Linked DNA regions of Lepisosteus oculatus. The protein of the gene in region 1 interacts with the protein of each later gene in a biochemical or structural test. Links are inferred from orthologs where the notes say so. Each region holds a gene or a part of one and is shown on either strand. Other genes may lie near its edges.

The links. The genes of interacting proteins can lie anywhere in the genome.
Region 2: the proteins of M-phase inducer phosphatase 1-B (region 1) and pin1 interact in a test that uses a peptide from one of them, tested with the Homo sapiens proteins (2 studies listed by BioGRID, with this or other methods). The link is inferred for Lepisosteus oculatus from reciprocal best matches to the Homo sapiens genes CDC25C and PIN1.

What each region holds. Positions count from the first base shown.
Region 1 is NC_090706.1:29,487,873-29,496,259, reverse strand, and holds the start of M-phase inducer phosphatase 1-B, read right to left. Parts: upstream 3,375-8,387; 5' UTR 3,149-3,374; coding exon 2,709-3,148; intron 2,633-2,708; coding exon 2,562-2,632; intron 2,469-2,561; coding exon 2,423-2,468; intron 1,951-2,422; coding exon 1,912-1,950; intron 1,409-1,911; coding exon 1,375-1,408; intron 641-1,374; coding exon 545-640; intron 1-544. Other genes in the region: slbp2 (stem-loop binding protein 2), read left to right, coding at 5,702-5,748, 6,035-6,166, 6,962-7,042, 7,434-7,517, 7,632-7,778. UniProt on the Homo sapiens protein: Functions as a dosage-dependent inducer in mitotic control. Tyrosine protein phosphatase required for progression of the cell cycle. When phosphorylated, highly effective in activating G2 cells into prophase.
Region 2 is NC_090706.1:15,084,435-15,092,700, forward strand, and holds the start of pin1 (peptidyl-prolyl cis-trans isomerase NIMA-interacting 1), read right to left. Parts: upstream 3,143-8,266; 5' UTR 3,068-3,142; coding exon 3,010-3,067; intron 1,929-3,009; coding exon 1,731-1,928; intron 719-1,730; coding exon 608-718; intron 1-607. UniProt on the Homo sapiens protein: Peptidyl-prolyl cis/trans isomerase (PPIase) that binds to and isomerizes specific phosphorylated Ser/Thr-Pro (pSer/Thr-Pro) motifs.

The DNA of each region.
Region 1 (8,387 bases):
CACGGGTCAGAACCACGGGTCCGGGGCAGAGAAAAGGTTGATTTCAAATTTCTGGGAGCTCCATCAGTAAACACTGCTATAGGTCAACAATGCCCTTTACCAGTGTGCCCTGCAGTGTTCGGGATAGAACCTGCACAAAACCTCATCTCAGGGAGGCCTGTGGCTCTGGATGAGACTGTGGCCTATAGCACAGCCAACACTACCCTCTGGTGCCCACATGGAGAACTACAGCAAGGCACAGGCTTCTCCCAGAGACACTGGGTCCTAACCAGTACTGCAGCTGCACCCTTTGGTTCTCAAAATCTGGTCTCGCAACCCTGCTCAGAATCGCTGAAGAAGACCAGTTCTTTACACCTAACATTAGAATTCTATAATTATAATGAGAAAATTATACTTTTGTGTTTACGTTCGTCTTAAGTTACCTAGGTCTGATGAAACAATGCAGTTGTGCTGTGTAGTCTGCGCTTCAATTTGCATTTTCCCCAAGATTGAGAACCTCAGAACACTCTCCTGGACAACCAGAGAAACACAAGGCCGCACTCACATTCTCCTTGTTGTTGAAACAGGGACTGCTGGGGCCCCGCGCGCCGGGGCTGAGACCGCCTGAGCCGACCTTAGGGCTGCTGCACAGCAACCTGGGCTGAGAAACAGAAACACAGAGAGCAGTGAACAGGAGTGACACACGTTCATCCAGGTGGCACGATTAGCAGATGACAGTTAGATAGCCAGCAGACTTATCACCCCGCAGCTCACACTAGCAGCCCGCTGAAGCCCAGCAGGTGTGGAGGGGAGACCTCCTGGGAAAGCTAAGGTTGCTGCTGGAAAGGTGTGAGAGGGGCCAGCAGGGGGCACTCACCCACTGGACTATGTGGGTCCTAACACCCCAGTATAGTGACAGGGACATACTGCAAAAAATGCACTGTCCTTCAGACGAGAGGTAAAACCAAGGTCTTGACTCTCTGTGGTCATTAAAAACCCCAAGTCGTTTCTGAAAAAGAGTAGGGGTGTTACCCCGGCATCCTGGCCAAATTCCCCCCTGGCCTTTACCCATGATGGCCTCCTGATAATCCCCATCTCTGAGCTGGCTTCATCACTCTGTTCTCCTCCCCACTGAGAGCTGGTGTGTGGTGAGCACACTGGAGCATCATCCAGGTGGGGCTGCACACTGGTGGTGGTGCAGGGGATCCCCCTTACCTGTAGAGCACTCTGAGTGCAGTATCCAGGAAAGCGCTATATAAGTGTATGGAATTATTAAGCATTATAATTCTTAGTGAAATAGCACAGCCCAGGACCCAGATCTCGGGGACAAGGTGACTCAGGGAGCCGACTGCAGGAACCCGAACCCCTGGCCTAGAGAGGGGGCTGATCTCTTACCAGCATGGACTTCAAGCGCTTCATATGGCCCTTCCTGGAAGAGAGAGAGAACAGCAGGCATGAGGCCGAGCAGACGACCGGTCATCCACAGACCCGCTTGGCCACCCGACCCGTCGGGCCAAGCACGCGGCCAGCCGGGCAACCACAGCGACGGCCCGGCAGGGAACCGAACGCCTCGTTAACGACCCCGTTCGGAGCGAAGAGTCGCCGGCAGAGGCCGGGCTGAGAAGGATACTCGTGACGGAGCGAGACTCGGGCGCTGCCTTCCAGAGCCTCAGCAGGGCTGTCAGTGAGACTCCTGATCCACTCCCGGCTTCACAGTTTACTACAGTCACGGACACTACTTAAGGAACAGGAGAAGGACATCAGCCATACTGTCTAGGGCCCAGTGTGGGCCATGCGGCATGTTACTGACCATCAGTGCTCTCTCTGTCGAACCTGTCATTTCAGCTTTTACTTGATCTGTAATGTCCGCCCATCCCATCTCACCCCCTCCTCCCCACTGCCGCCCCCTCCCCTCTGCCCCCACACACTCACTTGTTTTTCTCCGAGTCGGGGGTCACTTTCTGGGGGAAACTGGGAAGACAGAAGAAAGCAAAACTGGATTAAAAAGTTACAATCACGTACAGATAGACCCGGCTGTGGACAGCGGGGCCAGAGAGAGAGAGACCCAGATGTGGACAGCGGGGCCAGAGAGAGAGAGACCCAGATGTGGACAGCGGGGCCAGAGAGAGAGAGACCCAGATGTGGACAGCGGGGCCAGAGAGAGAGAGACCCAGATGTGGACAGCGGGGCCAGAGAGAGAGAGACCCAGATGTGGACAGCGGGGCCAGAGAGAGAGAGACCCAGATGTGGACAGCGGGGCCAGAGAGAGAGAGACCCAGATGTGGACAGCGGGGCCAGAGAGAGAGAGACCCAGATGTGGACAGCGGGGCCAGAGAGAGAGAGACCCAGATGTGGACAGCGGGGCCAGAGAGAGAGAGCCAGATGTGGACAGCGGGGCCAGAGAGAGACTCGGCGGCGGTCAGCAGACACTGGAAGGAGTTACCTCGGGGCCGGAGAGTCTGGGGGACCGCGGGGGGAAAGCAGCTGGTCTGGGGAGACACAAACGCAGACAGACATGAGGACGGAGACAGGAGGCGCCGGGGAGACAGCCGGCTCGGCTCGGGTGGACAGGACGGACTGACCGCTGTGCGCCGGGATCGGGGCGTCGCCGTCGCTGAGGCCCGACAGGTCCAGACACCGCCGGGGGGTGTCTCTGAAAGACACGGGCGAGGAGGTTATTGCCCGGGGCGCGGGGCACGGGGGACGGGGGAGGCCGGACCTGCACTCACCCGCTCTGGAAGGCGTTCAGGCTGCCGAGGCTGTGCGTGAGCTCGGATACCGGGGACAGCAGGCGCTCCGGGGAGCCGGCCTCCCCCTCTCTCGCCAGGCTGAGCAGCATCCGGCAGCCGGCGCGGAAGGACAGGCCCTCGCTCATCCTGACTCGGCGGCGCCCTGCGCTGCGGCCGGGGCTCGGGTCCCTCTCCTGCGCGTGTTTCCCCGAGACCGCTTTCCTGCTGCGTTGCTCGCGGCGCAGGCGATTCTCGAACCGTCGGCAGCCGGAACCGGGCGTCTCGCGCCTGCCTGCGACCCTCGCCCGCTCCCTCTCACGCCGACTGCGAAAGAATAAGGACACACGGCGCCCTGCGCTCGGATTGCGTCTCTCGGTTGGAATAAAACTCCAGGCGAACGCTAATACAGAGCAGAAAGTGGTGCTGTAGTTACAACACATAGGTCTTCAGTGCTGCCCCTTTCCTCTTGATAGCAAAAAAAACCCGGTGCATTTCAGACATCGTGCTAACAAATGAACGAAATTATGTTTAAATGCATCTTAATACTTGATGGAAAATTTATATTTTCTTATCTACTAATCTTAAGCTTGCGATTCCGTAACAATCCCTCCTTTCCTGTAAAACCCTCCATTACATTCCCCCAAACTCCCCAACACAGGATTTTAAATTTCACGCGCTGCGATCCGCCAATCACGGATCACGCTCCGCAGCACGACGTCCGCGAAACGTGAGTCAAAGCACGCTCACGACAGCGTTTCCGGACGCTGCAGGTCTACTGGTCCATTCTGCTGTCCATCAAAGCGTGCCCCGAGGAAGGAGGGGCTGGAGAGCTACGGCGCTGAAGGCTATTGGCCGGAAAGCTCAACCACGCTGGAGAAGTATCATACGGCCCGTGATGTTTGTTCGTGGTTTTTGTGTTATGTAGTTAAAACACGCGGAATATCTGTACGTTTAACGACATAAAGAGTCAGTTTAAAGAGAGCTCCTTCAAGAAAAATGCTGCCTAAATGTAATTCGTGTTTTGCAGACTCCCACGCGTTGTTATCTGTAGGAATAACAATGAATCAGAGACAGATCCACGGGTGGTTTCCAACCAAAGGGTGATTTTTATTGAATTAACTCGATAAGTGGGTTCAAACTTTTAACAGCAGGTCAGGACAAAATGCAAGGGTATCACCCACAGCGGTCCTGAAAACTGCAGCGTGAACTGCAGTGAACCTGTTGCGTGATTTTAGCCAAGAGAGGAGGTGTGTGCAGAGTAGGACTGGACGAGGAGGAACCGTCATCAGCACAACAAAGAATGGATTCCTTTTCTGCGACACTGTCTTTTCCAACATCTTCGGGGGGGGGCTTACAGTTGAGTCTGTTTCCCCCCCAAGTTGCAGAAAGTCTTAAGATAAAAATGCGACCCAATTATAATTGGGGGTGGGGAAAAAACAACCTAAATGGAATGAGAAAAAAATATATCTTAAAAACCTTTGTTTTCACTAGAATGTTGTTGAGCTGTGATGTGTCTCCCAGCTCTGCCGCCCTGTTGACCATCGGGGTACGGGGGGGTAGGGGAGGGACTGTCTCCCTCCCCTGGGGGGCAGTGTTGAGCAGCACAGCACCTGCAGCAGTGATGTCACACGCCCCGTCTGGGGATCCCCCACCCCAGCAACACCATGAGCTCTGACTGCAGGAGCTCCAGGGGCACCTCAGCCTGGGCTACTGGCCTTGCAACAGCCTCATTGAAGTGGGCCTGGTCTCTCGGACCCGGATCAGGGTCGATTTGGGTCAGTAAGGTGGTGCTGAAATGTAGATTAATGAAACAAATTGCTTCACAACAAACTGTACTTAAGATCAATGGTTGTGTGTGTTCAATACCTTTGCTCAGATTTATAGCTACAGCGTGGACCGTCTGAAAATGTGAGAGTCATGTACATCATGCATCACAGATCACCTGATACTCAGGAAACTGCATGATGAGCTCCTAAGACTAGCTAACACCCACTGCAGTCACACGTTTAGAGATGTCTTTCAATGGAACTGACTGACAGGATTGTCTTTTTGTGATCAATATATTTATATTTCTGAGTCTGGAATTTTATTTTTTTTACTTGTACATCAACACTGTGAATTGTTTTTCTTCTAATAAAAGCAGCCTTGTTTGGCCCTGTGGGGGGGGTGTAATGAGGATAGTCCAGAGCACCTACTACATCAGGAAATCCCACTGGAAAAAAAAGCTTTGATCAGAGTACATAGCTACAGGGAACAGAAGCTACATGGCCAGTGCTCAATATTGACATGCTATATGTACGAGCAGTACAAACAGTGCATGGGCTTAAGGTAGTCAGTGTAGAGTATACTCTGTCTGCAGATAAGACATCTTTCAAATAAAAATGATCAGCAATCTGTAAATGGCGATCTCAAAACTTTAATTCTCTCCGAAAACTCTAACGTCAGCTGGAGCCTGATGAAAAGTGACGGCATTTTTTTTTTGCGTGAGTCTGCTCTATGAGCCGAGCTCTTAACCACAAAGCCAGATTAAATTTGATTTAAACTGCCCCGGAGAAGGTTAACTAATAGAAGATATGTTGATATACTTATAAACCCCGATATAAACCAACTGTGCTTCCGTGAAAGCCAAAAACCGGACTTTGTCAACACGTTTACTAAACTCACCCGGCTAAATGAAACATTCCTTACATCTTATTTAATTTCTGATACAGTTCAGTGACATATCTCCTCTTGCTTCGTATAAATATGCTAATTATAAAACACTATTAAAGAAACTCTTCATTTTCCTAGCGGCTCTTGTTAATAAAACAACCCGCACAAATTCGAGCTCAGACTCTCAGTTTTTATTGGTTGGACTGAGTGTCGCCAAAGCGGAAGTCCAGCCCTGCTTCCTGTGTCCACCCGCGCGGAGCCCCGCCCCCGGTCACCTGGCGGGTATTTAAGCCCCCAGGCGGCGGCAGATCAGTTTGGCTGTTACTATAGCCCCGAACAGCATGACCAGCAGCTTTCACCCCGCTTCGCCAAGCCCGCCGGACCACAGGTCTGGAGCGCTTGCGTGTGCACGCGTTTCTTGCGCCGAGTGACGAGTTGATTCCCGATCCGGTTTCTGGAGGCGCGGGCGGGCGGGCCGGCGCGCGGACGAGCTGCGGTCTGTCCCGGGGCGTGTTCTCGGGACAGCGCGCGCCCGCTCCGTCTGCGTCACGGCCCGCGAGCCCTCCCCCCGGAAGTGCCCGGGGGAGAGGTGGCGTTGTCTCCGCCCGTTCCGCCGGTCCCTGTGTCGGCAAGGCACTGCCGTCTAACTGTCTCCCCTGCGCTTCCTCCTGCAGGCTGTGGCCGGTACCGGCCTGGCCCGGTGCCCTAGACCTGGACCTGGCCTGTTGGGACCCGCTGCCCCAGACCTGCATGCCAGAGCCCTGGCTGCTCCCGGGCTGCAGCTCCGTGTACAACAGGCTGGTGAGGTGAGGGGCGCTGACCCACTCCTGGGCACTTCTCTGCACAGACTCGGGCTCAGGAGGAAGATCTAACTCCAAAAGCTTATTAGAGGCCAAAAGCTAAATAAGCTTGTAAGAATCCAGGGTATCAGCTTGTTCCACACTCCCACCACCCTCTGTGTAAAGTGCCTCCACTTCTCAGTGCTACATGCTCTTCCCTGTAGCTTCCACTGGTGTTCTCTGGTTTGCTTCTCTGGTTCTGAAGTCCCCCTGGTTGACTGTCGGAGTCTTTCAGGATTTGGGGGTGCTTGATTCAGGTCTGCGGTCTTCTGTTTAAGACTACGGAATCTGTCGCTGGACCCAGTCGCTGCAGGACAGGCCTCCGAGCCTGTGAAAGGAAGTCGTTACTCGTCTCCGGAGCATCTTGTCTTCGAGAGTGTGGCGCTGAAATAACCTGGTGACCAGAACCGTCCTCAGCTCTCATTGAGGTCTTGCTGGAGTGTGACGCAGTTTCGACAGGGTTCGACTTGGTTTAGATCCTGCGCTGTTGACCCTGCGTCCTCTCTCTGCTGGCCTGTTTCCTCGCTTCCTCAGTGTCCGGCAGATGACCCCAGTGACCACGATGTGTCAACCCTACATCTCTCCCGGTCTCACAAGCAGCCTCTCCCAGCTCGGAGTGTTTTTCTCCGAGGCAGCTGCGGACAGGCGCTTGGGGTGTCCTCGAGTGTCTGTGTGGCTCTGCCTAGCCCTCTGCCTGCTGTGTGAGAAAAGGGGGGGCGTGGGGCACTACTGAGGTCCCTCATTCTCTGTTGCTCCCTGTAGCAGCTCCTCGGAGGCGGCGCAGCCCCAGTGCAGGATGACCGGAGAGTCTGACCAGGGGGGCGTCCCCCACAAACCTCACAGGTATGCCGTCTCGCCAGCAGGGGGCGCCCGTGCCGGTCTGGACTTGGGGCTACCCCTGTCCTGAGGCGTGGCGTTGGCAGTCGGGGGTGCGATCGGGGCGGAGGATGTGTAGGTTCGTGCGGGGTGCGAGGCGGGGGAAACGAGGCGCCCTGCAGAGAGGGGGCGCTCCCAGCTGAACACAGCGCCCCCTGGAGTCCCTGGAGTTGAAGTGACCTGTTAGCACCTGAGCAGTGGGGTCTTCTCAGTCTGAGAGCAGCGCAGCTGTTGGGGTGCCCTGGTGTGTGTGGTGTGTGTGTGTGTGTGTGTGTGTGTGTGTCAGGCCAGGAGCTGAGCAGAGCCCCCCAGCGGGATGTCCCGCCCGGGTCACAACCTGCTGTCTCCGTCCCCGCAGAGCGTCCATTCTGGAGCGCTGTATCCTGAGGCTGTCCACTGCCAGCGTCGCCGTGGGGACTGAGGACCTGGACCGGGCTGGGAGGTGAGGAGGAGGAGGGGTCCGCTCTGCACGTCCAGCTGGCTCTCCTGCTCCCCTCTCGTCTGCCCTGACACCGTGCGGGGGCCCCCCCCCTCGGCCTCCCCGTCCTCTCCGCAGCCCCCAGCCCGACGGCGCCCCCTGCTCCCGGGCCCTGGACCCGTCCCGCTGTGAGACCAACGAGGCGGTTCTGAAGCGCCGGCAGAAGCAGATCCAGTACGGCAAGAACACCAGCGGCTACCAGAACTACCTGCGGGAGGTCCCCAAGTAAGAGCACCCCCACACCCCGACACCCCCACACCCAGGACTACCTGCTCCAAGTAAGAGCACCCCCACACCCCGACACCCCCACACCCAGAACTACCCGCTCCAAGTAAGAGCACCCCCACACCCTGACACCCCCACACCCAGGACTACCTGCTCCAAGTAAGAGCACCCCCACACCCAGAACTACCTGCTCCAAGTAAGAGCACCCCCACACCCTGACACCCCCACACCCAGAACTACCTGCTCCAAGTAAGAGCACCCCCACACCCTGACACCCCCACACCCAGAACTACCTGCTCCAAGTAAGAGCACCCCCACACCCTGACACCCCCACACCCAGAACTACCTGCTCCAAGTAAGAGCACCCCCACACCCTGACACCCCCACACCCAGAACTACCTGCTCCAAGTAAGAGCACCCCCACACCCAGAACTACCTGCTCCAAGTAAGAGCGCCCCCACACCCTGACACCCCCACACCCAGAACTACCCGCTCCAAGTAAGAGCACCCCCACACCCCGACACCCCCACACCCAGAACTACCCGCTCCAAGTAAGAGCACCCCCACACCCCGACACCCCCACACCCAGGACTACCTGCTCCAAGTAAG
Region 2 (8,266 bases), about 14 Mb from region 1:
AATTGCAGGGGAGAGAAATTTTTTTTTAGAAAAAAAAAAGATATACGTCATTCCTAATTCTGGATCTCCATTTCTGGGGGTTCTTCGTTGATCTCATTAACAGCGCGGCACGCCAGTCGGCCAGCTGAAGAAAACGGAGGAAGGCCGATTACACGAGCTCAACACTTCCTGCCAAAATAAGGACCGGCATCACCTGCGCTCCACCGTACTCAAGTTACTGATCATCCCCACCTCCTTCTCGGGCCAAAAGCACACTTGAAAATGCGATTGTCATTACAAAGTAACATCTCTATATAGATGACTGAGCGGGGAGCTACGTCAGCTTGCTCTGGCTGCAAAGGGACAAGTAGAGCTTAACTCCGCCCTGAAAAACAGAAAGAGGAAAACGTTTTGGCTGTCAAGCCTGAAGAAGGAATTAGCCTTCACATACTCCTACACAGACTGACTGTGAGCACAACAGTCCTTACGGAGAAACACAAAGAAGTCCTTGGTCCTAAAAGACCAAAGAGGGATCACGATCCAGCGTCACAGTTTCACTTCTCACTGAACCGCTGCACCTCTGCCGTGAGGCGTGGAGTCGGAAGGACAGCGACAGACAGGGACTCACCTCGGCCGAACGTGCCCAGGTCTCCGCCATTGCGCGCCGAGCTGCAGTCGCTGAACTGGGACGCCAGGCTCTCAAACTCCTCCTCCCCGGACTTGATCTTCTCGATGTACTCTGGGAAAGGAAAAAGGGAGGGAGACAGTAAGACTACGAGGGGGCCTGAGGGCCTGGAGAAAGGAGAGGAAAAGCAGAGCGACCTCCTCACAAACGCTGACATCCTCAAAACGGTACATGACTATGGAGCAGCGGCGTTTTATTTGCAAGTAAAAACGTGATTTCAGGAGACATAAGTAAGAGCTGCAGAGTTAAGAACACTCAACTTACTAAATGCTCACTTGAACTCTTTGACTTAGATGTTGCCAAATACTGATATGCCTGTGCCTCCTCTTTTTTGTGCCCAGTGATTTGTCACAGTCTTGCACTCTATTCCTGGTAATTCTACTAGGATGGCTTCCTCCAGAAGATAAACATCAAAAAGAAGACCAACCAAATCTATTCCAGGGATTAAGGAAACGTCCGACACTGATGGGCTGAAGGAACTGTGGATGCTGCACATGGTGGTGGTGGACAGGAGTCCCCATTACCTGTAAAGCGCTTTGAGTGGAGTGTCCAGAAAAGCGCTATATAAGTGTAAGCAATTATTATTATTATTAACTGAACCTTTTGAGGTCTTCAGAGAAGACCAAAAAGGAACAATACAGACTTTCAAAATCTTCAAAGGCGTCAACAAAGTCAGCCCAGTGGTGCTCTTCACATTGAACAGCGAAACCCGAACCAGGGGAAGTGCACACAAAACCAAGAACAGGAGGCACTTCTTTACCCAAAGGGTGGTGGGAGTATGGAACAAGCTGCCCTGCCGTGCTGTTGAAGCCAATTCCTCTTGGCTTCTTGCAAGAAACTGCTGGCTGAGATCCATGGATTACTGGCTACTGACAATCAAGCTAGCTAGATGGGCTGAATGCTCTCCCTCTCCCCCACCCCCCGTTTGTAACTGTTCTTATGGCCATATTCTAACGCAGCGGGGCTCAGGACAGGAGTCAGTTTTGCTGTGTGCAGGACTCAAGAGCTGCGCATGCACATGCTAATAGGCGGAGAGGGCCCCGAGTCTCGGGCCTGGGCTGCTCACGGTGTATGAGTTCCAGGGCCTCCTCCTTCGTCCGGGTGACGGTCTCCTGTCGCCAAGACGACGGCCGGCGGGACTGGTTGTGCTTGACCAGCAGGTGGGAGCAGCGCACCTTCTCGGGCTCCCCCTTGCCATCCCCGGCCCCAGTGGGCCTCTCCCATTGGCTGGCGTTGGTGATGTGATTGAAGTAGTACACCCGACCTGCAGGGGGAGAGAGAGAACATCAGGAGTGAGCTAGAAGCCAGAAACCAATGAAAATAAGACCACTAAAAAAAAAAAAAAAGATATGAGGGCAGCCTAAAAAAAAGGAAGAAATACTTTTTATAAAGGGCATTCCAAGTATTGAACTCCCATACAGCTTTATAAAAATTAAAAGCTTCCAGAGTGCCCTAACACAACGACTGCGTGTAAGTGTATTGTACACATCAGTAACGAGCTCCCAGTCAAGAGGAGTCATAGGTAATGAACCGGACCTGGACCGGACCGAGTGATGTCCTCTTTCTCAAACTGTATTTTGATTACACTGAGTTTGTCTCCCCAATTCGGAAAGCAGGTGACTGGACTGTCTGGAAGCCAAGAGGCATTATCCCGCACGTCCATTGCGGTCCCATTGCTGCCGTGACGCAGAAGACGAATCCGTCAAAACAAACACAGAAACCGAAGGATGTGCTGCGCCCGACGGAAGGTCATTTCCGTCAACAAACCTTCGAATCGATCTTATGAGCCTGTTTATTACGGGAAAAAAACCGGACAGGAGACTGACTTGGCCTGGACGTTTGAAGGAGTGGGCGTTTTGGGCGATTTATAACCCCCGCCCCCCTCCTCCCCGTTTTCAAAACGTTTCCCTTTTCTTGTGTTTTCATTTTAAAAATGTGCTTAAAAGCAAAACCACAGACTCATATTTCCCCATCAATGACGGCTTGGCACAATTTTAAACCCTCTTTCGGCAAAGGCGCAAAAAAGAAGCTCTGCACCGTTGCTTTCTAAGCAACTCATTCGCAACGCATTCAAAACACGAAACTATCTCCTGCACCCCACAGTGCGTGTGAACAAACATTTTGCACGGCGGGGGAAATTAAAAAAAACATTATTTGCAGCCTTACTTAACAATTTTAATTGTGATCAGAGTCTGCTCTTCAGGATCCGAATGCTAGCGCATAACGGACTTTTTTTTATAAATAAAAAAGTTTACAATTTGGGAGCGCCCAGGGTTAAAAAAAACAACCAAAAAGATTTCCGCCCCTTTGTTATTATAATCTCGGTGAGCCTGGGTTTCATTTACCTGAACTGCGGCTCATTCGCTTCTCCCACCCCGCAGGTAAATTCTCGTCGTCTGCCATTTTCTCTGCGCACACCAGAGGCCAACTCCCCCTCTTCTCACACAAACTACTTTTATAACTGGCCGCCTCGAAAGTGACGGGCAGCTTTTCCTACCACCCTATTCGACAACACGGATAGTCGGGGGCAGTAAGGGCTGTCACTATTTGGTCTCCCAGGGAAAAAAAAGCCCGCGCCCGCAATGAATACAAACTACAAAAAAAACTACTGCATTGTGTTGTTCGCATTGCAAATAACTGGTGGTGCCGGTTCATATCTACTGGTGTATTGCCTTTAATATGCAATTTCTACGGCTTGCTTTTATACAATTAGTTAATTTATCTAAACACTATTAAAATTAATTTATAATAGTTGTATGTCGCGGTCTTTATCTGATTTTGGAAACAACAATATTGCCGAAAATGTAGTTATGGACATTAAGGTTTTTAAGAGAAAGACACTAAAGTGAAGCTGTGTCTGTGTGTCCGCCATGTTGGCTTCCAACTCGATACATTTTAGCATCTGATGGACGTTACACGACTGAGCCAAAATGGCGTTAGTTGCAATTTACCCGCAAAACGAGATGTTATTCACGTTAATCTAATACACTTTACGGCAGAAAACTAACATGCTCAAATCCCCGCCTTTCAGGATTAAAAGAACACAGGGATTGGCTAACATATACATCTGTCAGATTCCGAAAGTAGTCTATCATTGGTTAATGTCCTTTCCTTTTCCGTTTTAGAGCGGGTATCCTTCCTGCCAGTGTTGGTATGGTATTCTGTTATTTTTTTCGGTGGGCGAAGAGAAGTGTATTATTTAAAGTGGATTAGTTGAAACAAAAGGTAGATCTATTTTATCGCGATCTTTACAAAGTGCTGTCATTTTATAGTGTGTTCAGGACATTCCATAGCTAAGGAAAGTCTCATTTAAGATGTTCACAGCATTGTGCCGTAAAGTAAATAAACGTGCAGGTAAATTAATGTTGTCTCTAATTCAGATAGCGTCGAGGAGGGGGTGATTAGATCATGCATGACTGCAGCAGTTTCATTCTCATAGGGATCGGCATTGCGGCACAAGAAGAGTTGTGACGGCAAATAACATTCGTGTAGCTGTAGGAACTACAAGCGTGTCTGTGCCATGATCCCAGCTGCGACTGTAAGCGCTCTGCGTCTTTATTTCCAGGTTCCGGCCTCGCAATGATTGAAGTGGTGTGTAACGACCGTCTGGGCAAGAAGGTCAGGGTGAAGTGCAAGTATCCTTGATGGCAGTAATTGCGTTAAAACAAGTGTCTCAAAACTAAAAACAAACGCTGACTGCACTATTTGTGCCTCCAATGTGAAAGCTCGGTGTCCTAACGCCGTTCAGTAAAAGCTAGCTTCCTCACCTGGAATACAATAATATATGTGATCTATCTAAAGAAAGTTTTATTTTTAGTTACCGCTTCAGTCTTGATGTTGTTTTCCTCTTCGGTTAATGAAACCAGTCTGTTTTTCCTTCAACCAACTTTTCCTCTTCCAACTGTCATATTTGCTGGTCACTAGTTTTAGAGAAGTTGTTTCTAGAGGAGGTTTGACTAAAAAGCTTATTCAGACGAGGCTTTGTGTCCAGTTCTGAAGTTTCCACTTAACTCCTGCGCCCAGCCCTGACGACACGATCGGAGACTTGAAGAAGTTGATAGCTGCTCAGACTGGTACCAGGTGGGATAAAATCGTCTTGAAGAAATGGTGAGGATGCTTTGAATACCGAACTGCAAAAAGCTGTTTTAATGTGTACCTTTAGGGCATTTGTGTGTGTATCTCAAGGATAAAGTGGTCTAGATTGGTAAATTGACAAGTACTTATTTATCCTTTCTGCAGAAAAAACAGGTCATTCTGTCACAGGGGACTGCAGTATGGGATTTTGGAGAAACCTGTAAAGATAACAGAGTAGTGAACACCTTATGCCTTTGTTCCCTATCAATACACTTGGAATGTCCAAGACATGTAAAAGAATGTTAGCTTTCTTTCATTTAGTGTAAGAAGCATATTAAATGTTTTGAAGGATGTCTTTTTTTCACCCAGTAGCATTTTCAATGCTTTGTTTCACAACTGAAAACATTTTTAATCCTGTCTCTTAAATTCTGTCATTGCAGGTACACTATATTCAAGGACCATGTATCGTTAGGAGACTGTATCCTTTTTTTTAATCGTTTTGTTTGAATGTATAAAGTAAAGGTATATCAATCAGGTTTAAGATGAGCCTCCCTGTTCTGAATAATTCCTTGCACTTTTCTGGACACTCCACTTAATGTTTAAGTATTGGGGACTCCCCTCCACCACCACCACCACCAGTGTGCAGCCCCACCTGGATGATGTTACAGCAGCCATAGCGTGTCAGTACACTCGCCACACACCAGCTCTCGGGGGAGGAGAACAGAGTGATGAAGCCAGTTCAGGCATGGGGATTATTAGGAGGCCATGATTGGTAAAGGAGGAATTCTGGCCAGGACACCAGGGTAACACCCCTAAACGTTTCAAGAAACGCCCTGGGATTTTTAATGACCACCGAGTCAGTACCTCAGTTTTATGTCCCATCCGAAGGATGGTGTCTTCCTACATTACAGTGTCCCCGTCACTATACTGGGACATTAAGACCCTCACAGACTGCAGGGTGAGCGTCCCCTGCTGGCCTCTCTAATACCTATTCCAGCAGAAACCTTAGTTTCACATGCAGTTACTGATCATGCTCACCCCTGCTTAGCTTTAGTGGTTTGCCAGTTGTGAGTTGCAGGGTGATATGGCTGTTGGCATAATCCATTGGCCCAGTTTGCTGAACTAAATACATACAGCTAGCATTAGCATTTGGTGATGAATTTCTGCAGTAAAAGTGGCAAAACTATTATGTATCCCATTGAGATCAAATGCAAAGTAACTGTTATGGAATTGATTGGTTTAATCGAGTGATGGTTGTGCAGGCAGGGCAGGCTGGGTTCTTGCATTTTGAAAGGTCCGCTGAAAGCCTTGAGGTGCTTTTGCTTGCATAATGAATACAGGCTGTTTAGACTGGTGAGCAGGAGATCCTAGGAACCCAGGAACCTGTAAAATTTCAGCCCAACTTGCAGCACAAACTGCACGTGACCATGTCAGTTTTGTGAAGCTTGCACACATCTGTGATTTCAGACATCAGCATTGGCACCTTGTGTCTTAAATGAATTATCCAGAGCATCCCAATCAAGACTCCTTAGTGCCAGGCTCTGGGATGAGAAAATGTTCAGTAAGGTTATTTAACAACCTTTGGATTTGACAGGTTGATTAACAGTTTCTATTGCAGGTTGTGAATACTTACTGTACATTAAACTAATTTAGTTGCAAAACATGACTGGGGATTTGCAAAGACTTATCAGATTTTTCCTTTGATCTATTGTGCAGCCTGTGATTCAGCCTCCATTCTGTTATAGTAGTAGTGCTTTGGTTCTAAGCATGTAAGCAGCAGAGCCCCATCAAGGGCATAATGTGCTTTTTTCCTTAATTTTGCTTCTCTAAACAGATGAAATCCATGATGGAATGAACCTGGAGCTGTATTACCAGTAGACATACTGAGCCACAAATTGCTTTAGGGATGGTAAAATTCCTCAGTCCTTGCTGAACTCGCAGATGTAAACCCTTTCTGAACATGCAAGTTTGTATTGAAGCAGCAAAGATACATTTTTTTCCATTGTTAATGATTAGGAAGTAAATTGTCTCAACATCAGGCTTTTGTTCTGCTAAATATTTTGTTTTGATATTGTTTTAAAAATAAAATCTGGTATTTATATACAACATGGTCTTTATGGACTTGGTTTGTCTGTGCTGGGCAGTGTTATTTAGTGGTTTTGTTCCAGCTACGTTCTGAATATCTTAATTAGAAAGCATTAACATGGTTTTGAGATTTTAAGTCTACCTATAAAACCTGCAAAGGAGTACTGGGTAAGCTTCTGGACTTATAATTGACAGGCTGGGTTCAGGTCTCTATTGCAGACACTGCTAAAGTGAGGTACCTCACCTCAGCTGTATAAGTGGGGACCAGCATCACAATGTGGGTTACTTAGTCTATTCAATGCTACAGGAATTGCAAAAGTAAGGCTGAGCTCCGTCCCAATGAAACGCTGTGTTGGAGTATGGACTTTACCTACTATATTATAAAACCTGCAGAAGTACATCTTGCTAGAATCAGGGCTGTAGACTCTGGAACTATTCCATATCTCAGGGGTTCCCCACCTTTAGCTAACAAACTGCTTAACTGGAAACTGCACTTTTATTTTACTCAAAAGGTGGGTATCTTTGTTACAAAGCAGCCTCTCAACATGTTTAGGAATCAAAAACAAGTTCAGTTGTGGAAAGGAGCGTAGCTGGAACAAACATCAGAAAGCATGGGGGGTGAGGGGGTTCCCAGGAACAGGTTTGGGGACCCCATCCATTTCTCTATTCTCTAAGTGGTAAGCACATAGCCCACTGAAAGGAAAGTGAAGATGAACCCAAATGCATCTCTGGCCTGTTTTCCACACAGGCAGACTCCTGGGTTCGTCTGACACTCTTGTAAATACAGGCTGGCCTCATGGTTCACAGAAACTTTAGACATGGAAGCTGATTGAAACATCTGGCATTATATTTCTAGAAATATAGTGAAATATGTTTTCTGTGGTAAAGGAGTTGCAGGAACCTGTGCCAACTTTATCATCTTAAATATCAGAATTAAAAAATCTGCTCCTGTAATACAACCTGATTAATGAGTGCTACATATACAGTTCCTATCAATCACAGACCTTTAAATAAATATAAGGGGAAAACAAATGCATTATTTATTCAATAAGGACATTACATTCACTATACGTGTGCATTATTTTAAACGGTGTATCAAGACACAAACCAAGAAACTGAGCACAAATTTGGCAACACAGAACGGTCTTCTGGAAATCAGACTAATGATGAGAGGAGATGAGCAATGAATTTCCCACGCTATGCAACCTGCCCCTGCTTTACCTGAGTAAGCAGAAATCTGACAGTTCCCTGAAGTTTCAAGCAAAAACTGTTCCCGTAAGTCACAGTCGTAACTGGAAAACGCTGACAGCAGCCACATTTCCTCAACTGGGACAAAAAAGAAGAAGTTGCAGGTAGCTCCTCCTTCGTCATCAATGGGGCAGCACTCTTCACAGCTTTCTACACATGCTTGCTTATGAAATTCACTGTTGCATCACCAGAGTT